Linked DNA regions of Saccharomyces cerevisiae S288C. The protein of the gene in region 1 interacts with the protein of each later gene in a pairwise test. Each region holds a gene or a part of one and is shown on either strand. Other genes may lie near its edges.

The links. The genes of interacting proteins can lie anywhere in the genome.
Region 2: the proteins of COT1 (region 1) and FTH1 interact in binary tests that used the Saccharomyces cerevisiae proteins (3 or more experiments, as listed by UniProt).

The regions. Positions count from the first base shown.
Region 1 is NC_001147.6:902,784-911,077, reverse strand, and holds COT1 (metal cation transporter COT1), read left to right. Parts: upstream 1-3,522; coding exon 3,523-4,842; downstream 4,843-8,294. Other genes in the region: long-chain fatty acid-CoA ligase FAA1, read right to left, coding at 1-1,735; YOR316C-A (uncharacterized protein), read left to right, coding at 3,143-3,352; SFG1 (Sfg1p), read right to left, coding at 5,278-6,318; YOR314W (uncharacterized protein), read right to left, coding at 7,706-8,035; SPS4 (Sps4p), read left to right, coding at 8,204-8,294. UniProt on the Saccharomyces cerevisiae protein: Vacuolar transporter that regulates zinc homeostasis by mediating zinc transport and storage into the vacuole. Plays a role in resistance to zinc shock resulting from sudden influx of zinc into cytoplasm.
Region 2 is NC_001134.8:632,403-637,043, forward strand, and holds FTH1 (Fth1p), read left to right. Parts: upstream 1-2,743; coding exon 2,744-4,141; downstream 4,142-4,641. Other genes in the region: LDH1 (triacylglycerol lipase), read right to left, coding at 1-979; mannosyltransferase KTR3, read left to right, coding at 1,220-2,434; DUR12 (bifunctional urea carboxylase/allophanate hydrolase), read right to left, coding at 4,301-4,641. UniProt on the Saccharomyces cerevisiae protein: High affinity iron transporter probably involved in transport of intravacuolar stores of iron.

The sequences.
Region 1 (8,294 bases):
CGTTAGATCTGTAAACGGACTCTAATTTCTCGAGTGCGATATATTCACCGTTCATTGTTTTGACCAAGTTTTTCTTCCTGTCAATTATTTTCAAATGGCCATTTGCTTCCCATTCACCGATGTCACCGGTCTTGAACCAACCATCGCTTGTTAAAGCTTGAGAAGTTTCTTCCTCATTCTTATAATATTCAGGCGTGACATTGGCACCTGTGATCCAAACTTCACCTTGGTTGTTTTTAGCAAAATAACCTAATTCTTCAACATCAACTAGTTTGACGGTAACACAACCTGTTAGGTCACCAGCGACGCCGAGTTCAAAATTAGCAGGATCCAAGATGGTGGTACTAGCGCATGTCTCGGTTAAACCGTAACCAATAAGCATAGGGCAGATTAAATTTGTGATGAATTCCTGAGCATCCCGACTGATTGGAGAACCACCGTTTAACAAATATCTTAATTGGCCACCTGTGGCAGTTCTGATTTTTTTGAAAACCAAGTTTCCTAAGGCGCCGCCACCAGGGATGTGGAGACGTTGCATGTTCAACTTGGTATTATACGCGGTCCAGAAGATTTTCTTGGTGAGGAAGGGCAAATTATCAATTTGGTTTAAGATCCCTTTTCTCACTGTTTCCCAAACAGCGGCGACACCAACCATGATTGTGGGCTTGAATTCTTGCAAATCACCTTGACAATTTCTCACAGAGCTGCTAGTTAAAGTTTTTACGGTGGCATAACCAATGCAGGCCCCCCAATAAAAGGACAATAGTTCGAAAACCAATTCAAAAATATGAGCTAGTGGCAAAAAACAGATAACACGGTCGGTATTGCCCACAAACTTCAAAACATTCAAACTTGCACCACCAACACCTGCGACAACATTTGAATGTTTCAAGACAACACCCTTTGGCTCACCTGTAGAACCAGACGTATACATGATGCAACAAAGATCATCCTTGCCAGGTGGATGAACATCGATTTCGTTACAGGATTCTTTACCTAGCTTCAAGATGTCGTCAAAGCTAAAGGTCTTGATATCAGGTCTAACTTCTTTAATTCTGTTGATGGCATCATGAGCAGATTGATAGATCTTACCACTTTGCCTCCTGTCCTCAGAACTGATGGAATCGAAATGAATTATGTATTTTACGTCTTGAGCGGCTTGCACTGGTTTGATCAAGGATGGTAATAAAGAGTTATCGGTAAAAATGGCCTTAGACCCCGTTTGCACCAAAGAATGAATTAGCCCTTTCTCTCCCAAAGTATCGTAGGCAGTGACGACAGGAATACCTTGAGACTGCGCTCCTAAGAACATCTTCATCCACTTGTGAGAAGTGGCTGCGTAAAGATGTAATTTGTCATCATCATTAGGCTTTAATCCTATTTTCACCAACCCACGACCAATTTCATGCATGATATCGGTCAATTGGTCAAATGAATTATAATGATAATGCGATAGTTCATAATACATCCATTTCTTTTCCACTGAAGTCTCCTTGCCATCAACTTTTTTCATAACCGATTTGGATTCTTCATGAATTTCCTTAACATCCCTCCAACCCATAGCATTTGAATTTTTGTTCTTCTGAAAGCACTCTAGAACAAACTCATAAACAGTGGAACACTTTGTGTTAGGCGGTCTGACGAGCGGCTTCTCGCGGCATTGATAATTTCTTCTTGGAGCAGTTTCATGCTCATTGGCGGCTTTCCCAACTGGAACGGTATATTGAGCAACCATATTGTTGTCTTTTTTTGTCTTTTGTGTTTGTTCTAGTTTTTATTGTATCCTAACGAGTTTTTTAACAACAAGAACTTTCTATACTTACTAAATATACTACAATTGTCTCACGACAAGTGAGGGGTAAAAGGAAAAAAAGAGAGAAAAATAAGCGGTTAAAGCCTTTTACTTAAAGACAGCGAAGGAGATCTCCAAACATTTTTGTTGTAATATCGATAATACGATATCCGCGAAAGGAACCAAAAAAAGCAAAAAAAAAAAAAAAACGCGCGAGAACAGCCTATCTCTGCTGTCCCGTATGCACAGGGAAGTTCTCCTGATATGCGATGGGTGGGTGCCCCTGTGTCATTCGTATTATATGATGTATTCGTGCCTGTATCATGCATAAATATTCACATGGCGGAGATCATGTTCCTGACAGGGCGTGATCGACTTTACTATTGTCCTTGTCATTCCCTTATGGAAGAATATGACAGGGCTGCATCATCCATATTCTAAGTAATTCTCTTTGCCGCGCTAAGCATGGCTTCATCGCTTGTTAGAAGGCGCATTTGTTATAAAGTTCAGCCGGCTCTATCGGTCCGCTAGCTAGGTCTGTTTACTTTCCGCAGCGTAAGCAGCTGGCAAAGTGGATCGGTCTTACATCTACAACGCAGTGACGTTTCTGATACTTTGGTGACGTATTCTTTTCTCACCGCTACGTTTTCTTCGCCCGCTCCGTGCGGACCGAAAAAAGACCCTCTCCCCTTATAAATTTTGTCAGTATTATAGCAATTGCCTGCGGACTTTCACCGCGCTTAGATCAAGAGGGCATCATGAGGCTACCTACAATTGACATACTAAGTCAAGAAAAATAATAGTGTATCGAATACGCGTGGTAGCTACATTAAATACTAAAGTATGGTTTTTTTTTTTAAGTAGGTTTACTCTTCATATTCTTCATTTTCATTTTTCCTTTTCTTCCCGTTCTTCATTTTTATTCCTAGAAAAAAAAATAAATATGTCTATCGTTAACCTAAACATAAACAAAGTTTAGCCCGCTTATTTAAATGATGCCCAGTACTTTTTTTCAAAACTCATATAATTATATATATCAAGAATGCTTTCCAACCACCGCTTGTATTAAGGTGTAGAAAGGTGGTTTTTGTATTCAAAAAGAGTACAAGCCCATTATAGCTAACTTAACAGTCCACCCTACTATATCCCACGCATATCTGGTTTTAACTTGTGGCGGGCGATATGGAACGAATTTTTCAAAGTTAACCATAGAAAAAAGCATGTGATCAAGGCAGAGTGAACGAGGGAAAAAGAAAGTGTGGAGAAGGCCACCTTTTGAAAAGTTTACCAATCGATCGGTCTCTCAGCACTTTCTACATTTAATCTCTTTATAGTGAACATCGCTGGCTCATGCTGGTTCCCATGCATAACTCACCCACGGCCGCCAACGGCCGCTTATCACTTACTGTCGCCAGCTCCGGTCTTAGAAAGGGTAAAAAAAACCGGGTGTATACTATACACTCATACATCCGCTCACCCGTTTCCAGTAGTGAATTTTCATTTTCTGTACGAAGGCAATATAAGCTGACGATCCGCATAAAGCAGAAGACTCATTTGTAATGCAGAATATCCGTACAATAAAGGAATTTATTGGTCTTATATATTCTACGTGGGAGCTCGAAAAGCATTTCTGGTTCTATTTAGTAACCAATTATTTTCACTTTGCTCAGAATAGTTCTGCATAGCTATAGAAAGAAAGTTAACACAAAGTACGGAAAGATTGAGTAAATATGAAACTCGGAAGCAAACAGGTAAAAATTATATCCTTGTTGCTGCTAGACACAGTGTTCTTCGGGATCGAGATAACTACCGGGTACTTGTCTCACTCTTTGGCTCTAATCGCGGACTCATTCCATATGCTAAACGATATAATTTCTCTTGTGGTTGCACTTTGGGCCGTAAATGTTGCCAAAAACAGAAATCCGGATTCAACGTACACTTATGGTTGGAAAAGGGCGGAGATTTTGGGTGCTCTGATTAACGCCGTCTTTTTGATTGCCTTATGTGTCTCAATTTTGATAGAAGCGCTACAAAGAATTATTGCTCCCCCCGTGATTGAAAATCCTAAGTTTGTGTTGTATGTGGGTGTCGCAGGGTTGATATCGAACACCGTTGGACTTTTCTTATTTCACGACAATGATCAAGAGCATGGACATGGACACGGACATTCCCATGGCGGTATCTTTGCCGACCATGAGATGCATATGCCATCATCCCACACACATACACATGCCCATGTTGATGGAATAGAGAATACTACACCAATGGATAGTACGGATAACATTAGTGAGATTATGCCTAATGCTATAGTAGATAGTTTTATGAACGAAAATACTAGATTATTGACACCGGAAAATGCATCCAAGACGCCATCATACTCAACGTCAAGCCATACGATTGCCAGCGGCGGAAATTACACAGAACACAACAAGCGCAAGAGATCTTTAAATATGCATGGTGTGTTTCTTCACGTTTTGGGCGATGCTCTTGGCAACATCGGCGTTATGTTGTCTGCATTTTTCATTTGGAAGACCGACTATTCTTGGAAGTATTATACAGATCCGCTTGTCTCATTGATAATTACCGGTATAATTTTTTCCTCTGCGCTTCCTCTATCGTGCAAGGCTTCCAAAATATTGTTACAAGCGACACCTTCCACTTTATCCGGCGATCAAGTAGAAGGTGATCTTTTGAAAATACCAGGAATAATAGCTATTCATGATTTCCATATTTGGAATTTAACAGAGTCTATTTTTATTGCATCTTTGCATATTCAACTAGATATCAGCCCGGAACAATTTACTGACCTGGCCAAAATAGTTAGATCAAAACTTCACCGCTATGGCATTCACTCCGCTACTTTGCAACCTGAATTTATTACCAGAGAGGTTACTTCAACCGAAAGAGCCGGAGACTCCCAAGGTGATCATCTACAAAATGACCCGCTTTCATTAAGGCCAAAGACATATGGTACTGGCATTTCAGGTTCCACTTGTCTTATCGACGACGCTGCCAACTGCAACACAGCTGATTGCTTAGAGGATCATTAAAAGGACTTTATAACGAAAAAGCGTGAAGAATTAAATACTTTTAAAAATCGTTATACGGTACATATACATACACACACACACATATATATAGTCGTCTATAATGTTTTTATACAATGTTTATCATAAATTTTGTTACAGTAAGAAGTATAGGAGATAATATAAAAAAAGAGGAAAAGCGAAAACAGGTGATAATAATGATGATCATAATAATAATATAATAGCAATAGTCTTGCAAAACAACAACTTGAGGAAGGAAAATAGTAATAATGGTGTTTAGCTTTTTTTAGATTACTCCAGCTTCTAAAAAAGAGTACAATACTTAGCACAATAATGCTGTTATCTTTTTTCATTTAATTAAAAAGACCAGTTGTTAAGAAATAATAAAAAAAAACTCCTTTGTTTAGAATTCAACAAATTAGAAGAAAAAGAACCTAGTTATTGTTCTAAAACCTTTGCCCACTGAACTTTTTTGTAGTCCTTCGTACTCTGTAGTTCATTACATTGCGTCAGCTCATCGCGCCTTCCTGACTGAAATTCGTAACCTCTTATTACTGCCGCGTCGGGAAGGTCGTCTTCATTGTCTTCTTCATTATCTTCATCTTCGCCAAAATTACTAGCTTGCCCATATATTTGGTCTTTAAGCTTCTTGTATTTCTCCTTAATTGAAGAGTTTACTGGAATTGTGAGCTTCTCCCAAATACTAGAAATTGCTGGTAATTTGTTTTCTTCATTGCTCAAAGTAGAATTTATTTCGGTGGCAAAGATGGTAGCGTCATTTAATGAGCCTCGCGACGAACTGACTATGAGATTCAGAGATTTGGCTGGTACTGTTAGAATTGATTTTTTGGGCTTCAATAGACGGTGAGAGGGTTCGTACCTTGTTGGCTTGAAGGTCGATCTGTTTACTGGAGATAACCTTTTTTTGAGTTTAGGCAATAAAAGTGGCACATCACTGTTGGATTCCAGTGGGCTCATCGGAAACGAAGAATGAATCATTCGGTGGAGCTCCAGTGCTTCTTTATTAACAAGCGGCTTACAGTTCCAGACAAAAGAATCAACGCCAAAAGGATCTAAAGAATCAATCTTTTCAACATCAGGCGATGTCGAGTTTATCGAAGATATATCACTCAATGGACTAACTAATTCATGTTCTGAAAAGCAGTCGTTATCAAAACTCAATCCAGGACTGACAATATTCCGGTAATCATTATATCCTTCGGTCATAAATGGATTGGTGATTTCACCTTGATTTTTTTTTATTGATACGCTAAGAGTTTGGGCTTTGACATTCTTTGAACTTGTCTTAAATTTGGCTTGGTATAAACGAAACCGTTTGGAGGGCGTAGTGTCTTCTGCTATAAAGCCTGATGAATATTTACATTTTTTACTTGGTGTACTGGGTATTACAAGCCCAATTTTTTTTTTTGATTTCGGTGTTCGCAACAAAAGTGTGTCTGAAGAATGCATTTCATCCATGTTTTTGAAATTTTTTTTTTCTTAATTTTATATTTCTCTTGTTTAACTAATCAAACATATTTACAGAACAACTTATCACCTAAACGCGCCTAAGTTCCAAATATAGCTGAAGTGTGGAAGGCACAAAGAAATGTTGCGTTTAAATAATACTTCGCTTGATTTTCCTCGTAGAGTGACAAAATTGATCCATTTTAAATTAACAAGAATGTTACCGCTTTAAAACTAAACTGTAAACAGTATCGAATGACATTTACGGTAACGGGCTTAAAATTCAAGATTTTCCTATCGAAATGGGCATGCATCTGTCGTTTACCTAAGCAAGGCTATGTATCGTTACACAACGTATTTAGTGTGTTGTGAGCTCTCTTGTTTACCAATTTGCACTAAGAGATATTCGCAGCTGAAAAAAAAAAGTTTAAACCCGATTAGAATAGCCATGGGATTTTCCATGCATTACTGCTGTCTATAACGGCGTGACCAGTTTAGCATAAATCCTTTGTCCGTAGTTTCTTTGAATCGTTCTGTCATACTGTTTTGTTTTTAAGACTGAGGCTGTCAAACTTTAATCTCAAAATCGGCCTGAAATCTTGAAAAAGCGGGATTGTTTTCTTTTTTTTTTTGCATATTCCCGTGGTTCGCATTTCCAAAAAGGGATTTGGTGCCTAGATATTTCCTTGTCTTCCCCTTTCGGATATTTACAAAACTCGAATATGTTATTTACTTTTATCCTAATTGGGCGATGTATGGATTGGACGAAAGTAGAAAGGTATAACTTGCCCAAAGGGTGGGCTAGCTGAGAGTTTTATGTGTCGAATTACGATCTCAAAAAACAGAGTAACGCAAAAAACCCCTACCCAAGAAAATGCTTCTGAATCTTAAAAGGACACGTCTTTTAAGAAGAGCTCGCAGTAGAGTAAGTTGTTATCTAAACTAATTACTGCCGTGGAATCGCCTTACTTTAAGGCCTGCGTAGTAACTCAATGCATTCTCTTGATGTTTATCCCCCAAGCTTGTTGCTATGCAACTATTTGTCCTTATAATATGTAGTATAGTAAAACTCTCGTAGTTACTTTCTTGGACATCACTGCTGTCCTGAGATAACATTATATGCTCTATTCCCATTGGTGGGACGATAACTGATTTTATTCATTCCAACCAAAAGATTGTACCGATATGCCATGACAACGAAATCTTGGAATACTTCGAAAAGAAAACACTTTTTTGTTGTCTTTCTGGGTGGGAACTAACGTTTCCATTATTTTTTTAACTGACATTGAAAAGGCAAAGCAACTGTCCTAGATTTTTTTGTTCTACTTAAAAGAGCCAAGGAGACCTAAAAAAGATAGTTATGAATATCCTCAGTATTGTTTACCCCTATACAAAAGTTCTAATCCAATAAATATGTAATGTTAAGTAAAAAGACGGAGAAGAAGCAGTAAAATAAGTCTCTTTCCTCTCCGAAGTAACGAAAAGAAAAGAGCAGAAAAGAAAAAACGCCGGTCTCGCTGCCTATGGTTCTATTTAAAATCATAGCATACAATAGACTTCGTAATGAAGATAACTGGACTTCTTTGCAACGGTGTTCGTCTATGCGGTCGTTAAGACACAAGGACTCAAGAGGGTTTAGTATCCTTTTTTTGTTGGTTCCTGCAGCAGCGTCAGACGCGTTGCTGATTATCGCCGATTGACGCGCGCCACAAAAACGTATCATTGTCATTAATTCATAAATTTTGGAACTATAAATTGCTAAGAAGTGTTCACTTTTTACCTCCTTCTACTACACTTTCGACAAAATTTCTTCCTTTGTTATTTTTGAGAGGCAAGCAACAAGAACATAAAAAATTGTTTTTGCTACATTGGTTTCACATAACATATTTCAACAAACATGCCATCAAATTTGAATATAGTGAAGGTTACAAAACCACAAGAAGAAAATAAGAATTTTTTACACAAAAACACGAATGAACCCAATGAAA
Region 2 (4,641 bases), on another chromosome or scaffold:
TTTCAATAGGAGCTATAGGATCTTTTTCAGCGCCAAATATTATAATTTTCTGTTTCATATCCGTTTGCGTCAATACACCATTGAATTTAACCCAATCAACAGTTTCCCATCCTAGTAAATAACCTATGATGGTTCTACTTTTGTTGCTTATGTTGTTTTTAAATTGCCAGAACTTCCTGTATTTCAACTTGACATCATCACCTTGTTGATAAAAATACTGCTTGATGCCGGAACTTTGTAGACCTTTTACCTGATCGAATTTGTTTCTATAAACGTCAAATAGCCATGGCAATTTAAACACACCATAGAGAGCCCACTGGATAATATGTTTATCCTTAGAAAGCTGCTCGATATGTGCTTTGGGGGGCGTCAACAAAACTAGCGTTTGTACCGCTTTTGTATCAGCCATGTGCTGCTCGTAAAGATGACATGCCAGAAAACAACCCATAGAATGCCCTACAAGCACTATCTTATGACCGTTAAATGGATTTACGTTATCATTATTCGGCACCGCTGTAGACCATTTTCTTAAGACGTCACATACAAGAACGAAAATAAGTTCCACCACTTTCAGCATGGGGTAGTCGCTCCATTCTGAACTATGACCAAAGCCGGGCAGATCTAACGTCAAAAATGCCTTTTGATCAGAGTCCACAAGCTCGAGTAAGGGTTCAAATTGTTCTAAGTTGCCAGCCAACCCAGGCACGAAGACGAAAACAGTATCACCCCGTATCCCTTTATCGCTCAAGTTGTGACACGTCCTTATTCTTGAATTTCGATCCGATAGTTGTACATTAAAAAACTCCTCATGTTCTGCGATAAACTTCAACCTAAAGTCCAAATCTACCTCTGGTTTGCGAATGTAAGCTACCAAATCAGCTGCATTTTCTGCATTTTGAACAATCTCTTCTAGCGTCTTTCCAGAAAGGGGCTCACAGGACCAACTTTTTGTTGCTTCTGCACGTTCTGCCATATTCATTACCAAGAGAAAAAGTTCTCGGTTTAAGGCTTTCTTCTAACGTTGAGTTACGATCCAAATGCGACTGTACCATCTTGGTAGTTCTTTATTAATGAACCCTTTAAAATTGCCGGGTTAAAAGAATGGCGCGTCCTCTTGAAACTTTTCGAAGAAAACAACGTAACTGATGGTTAAAATTTGCATAAAGAAGGTCAGGCCTCGTCTGCGGACAACAACACTATCAATATCCAGCGTGCAATTATGTCTGTGCACCACAAAAAGAAGCTAATGCCCAAATCGGCATTGCTGATTAGAAAATACCAAAAGGGAATCAGATCATCATTCATTGGGCTCATCATAGTGTTATCCTTTTTATTTTTCATGAGTGGCTCAAGGTCCCCAGAGGTACCAATAGCTCAGGGCACCAGTGTCAGTCGTGTAGCCAGTAAGGATTATTTGATGCCGTTTACTGACAAGTCACAAGGAGTAATCCATCCCGTGGACGATGGAAAGAAGGAAAAGGGTGTTATGGTCACATTGGCCAGGAATTCAGATTTATGGAACTTGGTAAAATCTATTAGACATGTTGAAGACAGGTTCAATAACAGATATCACTACGATTGGGTGTTCTTGAATGACCAACCATTTAGTGATGAGTTTAAACGTGTTACCAGTGCATTGGTTTCAGGCAAGGCAAAATATGGGACAATCCCAAAGGACCATTGGTCCATTCCATCTTGGATCGATACTGAAAAATTCGATGAGAAAAGGCTTGCAATGGGAAAATTGGATATTCCATATGGTAGTTCCGTGCCTTACCGTCACATGTGCCGTTTCCAGTCAGGGTTCATATGGAGACACCCACTACTGGAGGAGTACGAATGGTTTTGGAGAGTGGATACCGATATCACTTTATTCTGTGATATTCAGTATGACATATTCAAGTTTTTAAAAGTAAATAACAAGAAATATGGATTCATTCTTTCGGTAAGTGAATATGAGCGCACAATCCCAACCTTGTGGGAAACGACAAAGAAATTCATCAAGAAAAATCCTAAATTCTTACACAAAAATAACCTCATGAAATTCATTTCGAATGATGATGGTGACACTTATAATATGTGTCATTTCTGGACCAACTTCGAAATCGGCTCTTTAGACTTCTTCAGGTCCGATGCATACAGAGAATACTTTGATTACTTAGACAGTTCTGGTGGATTCTTCTACGAAAGATGGGGGGATGCGCCAGTGCACTCCATCGCTGCCTCTTTGTTCTTGGACAAGTCAGAAATCCATTTCTTTGACGGTCTTGGATTCCATCATCCAGATTTCACCTCTTGTCCTATCGAACAGAAGATTAGACTACAAAACAAGTGTATCTGCGAACCTAGCAAGGACGTCACCTGGACTCCTGACTACTTCTGTACTAGAAAGTACTTTTCAGCAGGAAATTACAAGCTTCCACCAGGAATTTAAAAACCAAACTACAAATAGCGCCTGCTCCGTCAAAACAGGTGCTAAAACGTCAACATGTATCTATCTATATACACATAATTCAATGTAGTAGCCACCTCACTTTATTCTAGTGCCTTCTTGGGTTCAAAAATGGGTGCGGTGCGGCCGGAGATGAAGAGAGAAAAGCAAAATTGTATCTAAACCAGCCTACAAAAACACAAACTTGATATTATAAAGAATCAAGCATCTTACTGAACTTTTGTCCTCTACAGAAAAGCGAAAAAACTCTAAGAATAGAGAACTAGAGTGGTGTTCATATTTCTAGTCACCATGGCGTTTGAGGATTATTTTTCTTTCCAGATATTCTTCATTTTCTTAAGGGAATCCTTAGAAATTGTTGTCATTGTTTCTATCCTGTTGACGATCGTCAAACAAGGTCTGTCTGTTGAGGACGACAGCCCGTTTGAAGGAAGTTCCTCTTCTGCTGGTCTTCCAAGTCCAAATACGAACACAAACGCAGATTCGACCACTGCCTTCTTACAAGCAGGGCCTTCAGACGGTAATGCTATTGGAACGTCCGCTACGGCTGCTAATAATAAATCGAGGCCGCTAAATGTGGAGGAAGAAGAAGAAATTTACGAGTACTCTAATGAGCTTAGAGACCAGGACCGCGAGTCCGATGAACATACGGCTGACAACGTTAAGCTATATCAGAAATTAAAAATACAAATTCTAGCGGGCGGCGCATTTGGTTTGTTGCTGTGTATGTTAATCGGGGGTGCGTTTGTTAGTATCTTTTATCATATTGGAACCGACTTATGGACACTGAGTGAACATTATTATGAAGGTGTCTTAAGTCTTGTCGCGTCCGTTATTATTTCTGTCATGGGGTTGTTTTTTTTAAGAATGGGGAAGTTAAGAGAGAAGTTCAGAGTGAAATTAGCTTCTATCATTTATTCAAAGGACAATAATTTGCTGGGAAACAAAACCCAAAAAGGTGTGAAATTCAGTGAAAAGTACTCCTTCTTCATATTACCATTTATAACGACTTTGAGAGAAGGGTTAGAAGCTGTTGTATTCATTGGAGGTATCGGTATTGACCAACCACTATCCTCGATTCCCCTCTCTATGGTCCTTGCTACTGCAATCAGTACGGTGTTCGGTATTTTTTTCTTCAGGTACTCAAGTTCTCTTTCACTTAAGATATGCCTTGTAGTCGCCACCTGCTTCCTCTACTTGATCGCGGCTGGTTTGTTTTCCAAAGGTGTATGGCAACTTGAATTGCAAGACTACGTCAACAAATGTAACGGTCAAGACATGAGTGAAGTAGGAAATGGACCCGGTTCGTACGACATATCTCGTTCTGTTTGGCATGTTAATTGTTGCAATGGTGAAAAAGATGGAGGTTGGATGATTTTTACTGCCATTTTTGGTTGGACGAATAGTGCTACCGTCGGCTCTGTAATTAGCTACAACGCCTACTGGTTGGTATTAATATGCGCTTTGAAACTGCTAATGATAGAAGAAAAATACGGATATATCCCATATCTACCTATTAGCTGGCAAAAGAAACGTATTATGAAAAGATTAAGCATTGCCAAGGCATCGCTCGATCTCAAACATCATACTTCTGAACTCAACTCTAGCACATCAGAGCCAGACAGTCAAAGACGGTCCAAAGATAGTTCTGTGCCCCTAATAATTGATAGCAGTGGTTCAGCAAATTGAGAACATAACAAACACACGTAATAATTTTAAGCTTCTTTTCATACATTTTACAGTAAATACTATGTACATATATATTCGTCATTAAAAATAGCTAGAAAAAGGCATGCTATAAAGACTAAATGAGTGCTCCTTTGATTTTAGATGCCAACAAAAGGTAATTCATGCCAATGTCTCTATGACGGCCACTATGTCACCAGAATCAACCATATCACCATTGCCATGGCAAATCTTGATAATCTTACCCGATTTAGGAGCGGATATAATCATTTCCGCTTTCATGGCTTCAATAATTAGTAGCCCTTGACCTGCTTCAATAACATCTCCAACAGATGCTATGGATTTCCAAAAACGCCCAGAATACTCAGAATATACAATTTCTGCACCTTCTGGGAAGTCTTCTTCCTCGTCAGGTTTGACTGTGACACTTTCTTTTAGTTCAGAGTTTGCATTTTGAATCAATTTGGCAAATTCCTCTGCTCTTTCACCAAGCTGGCCCTCCT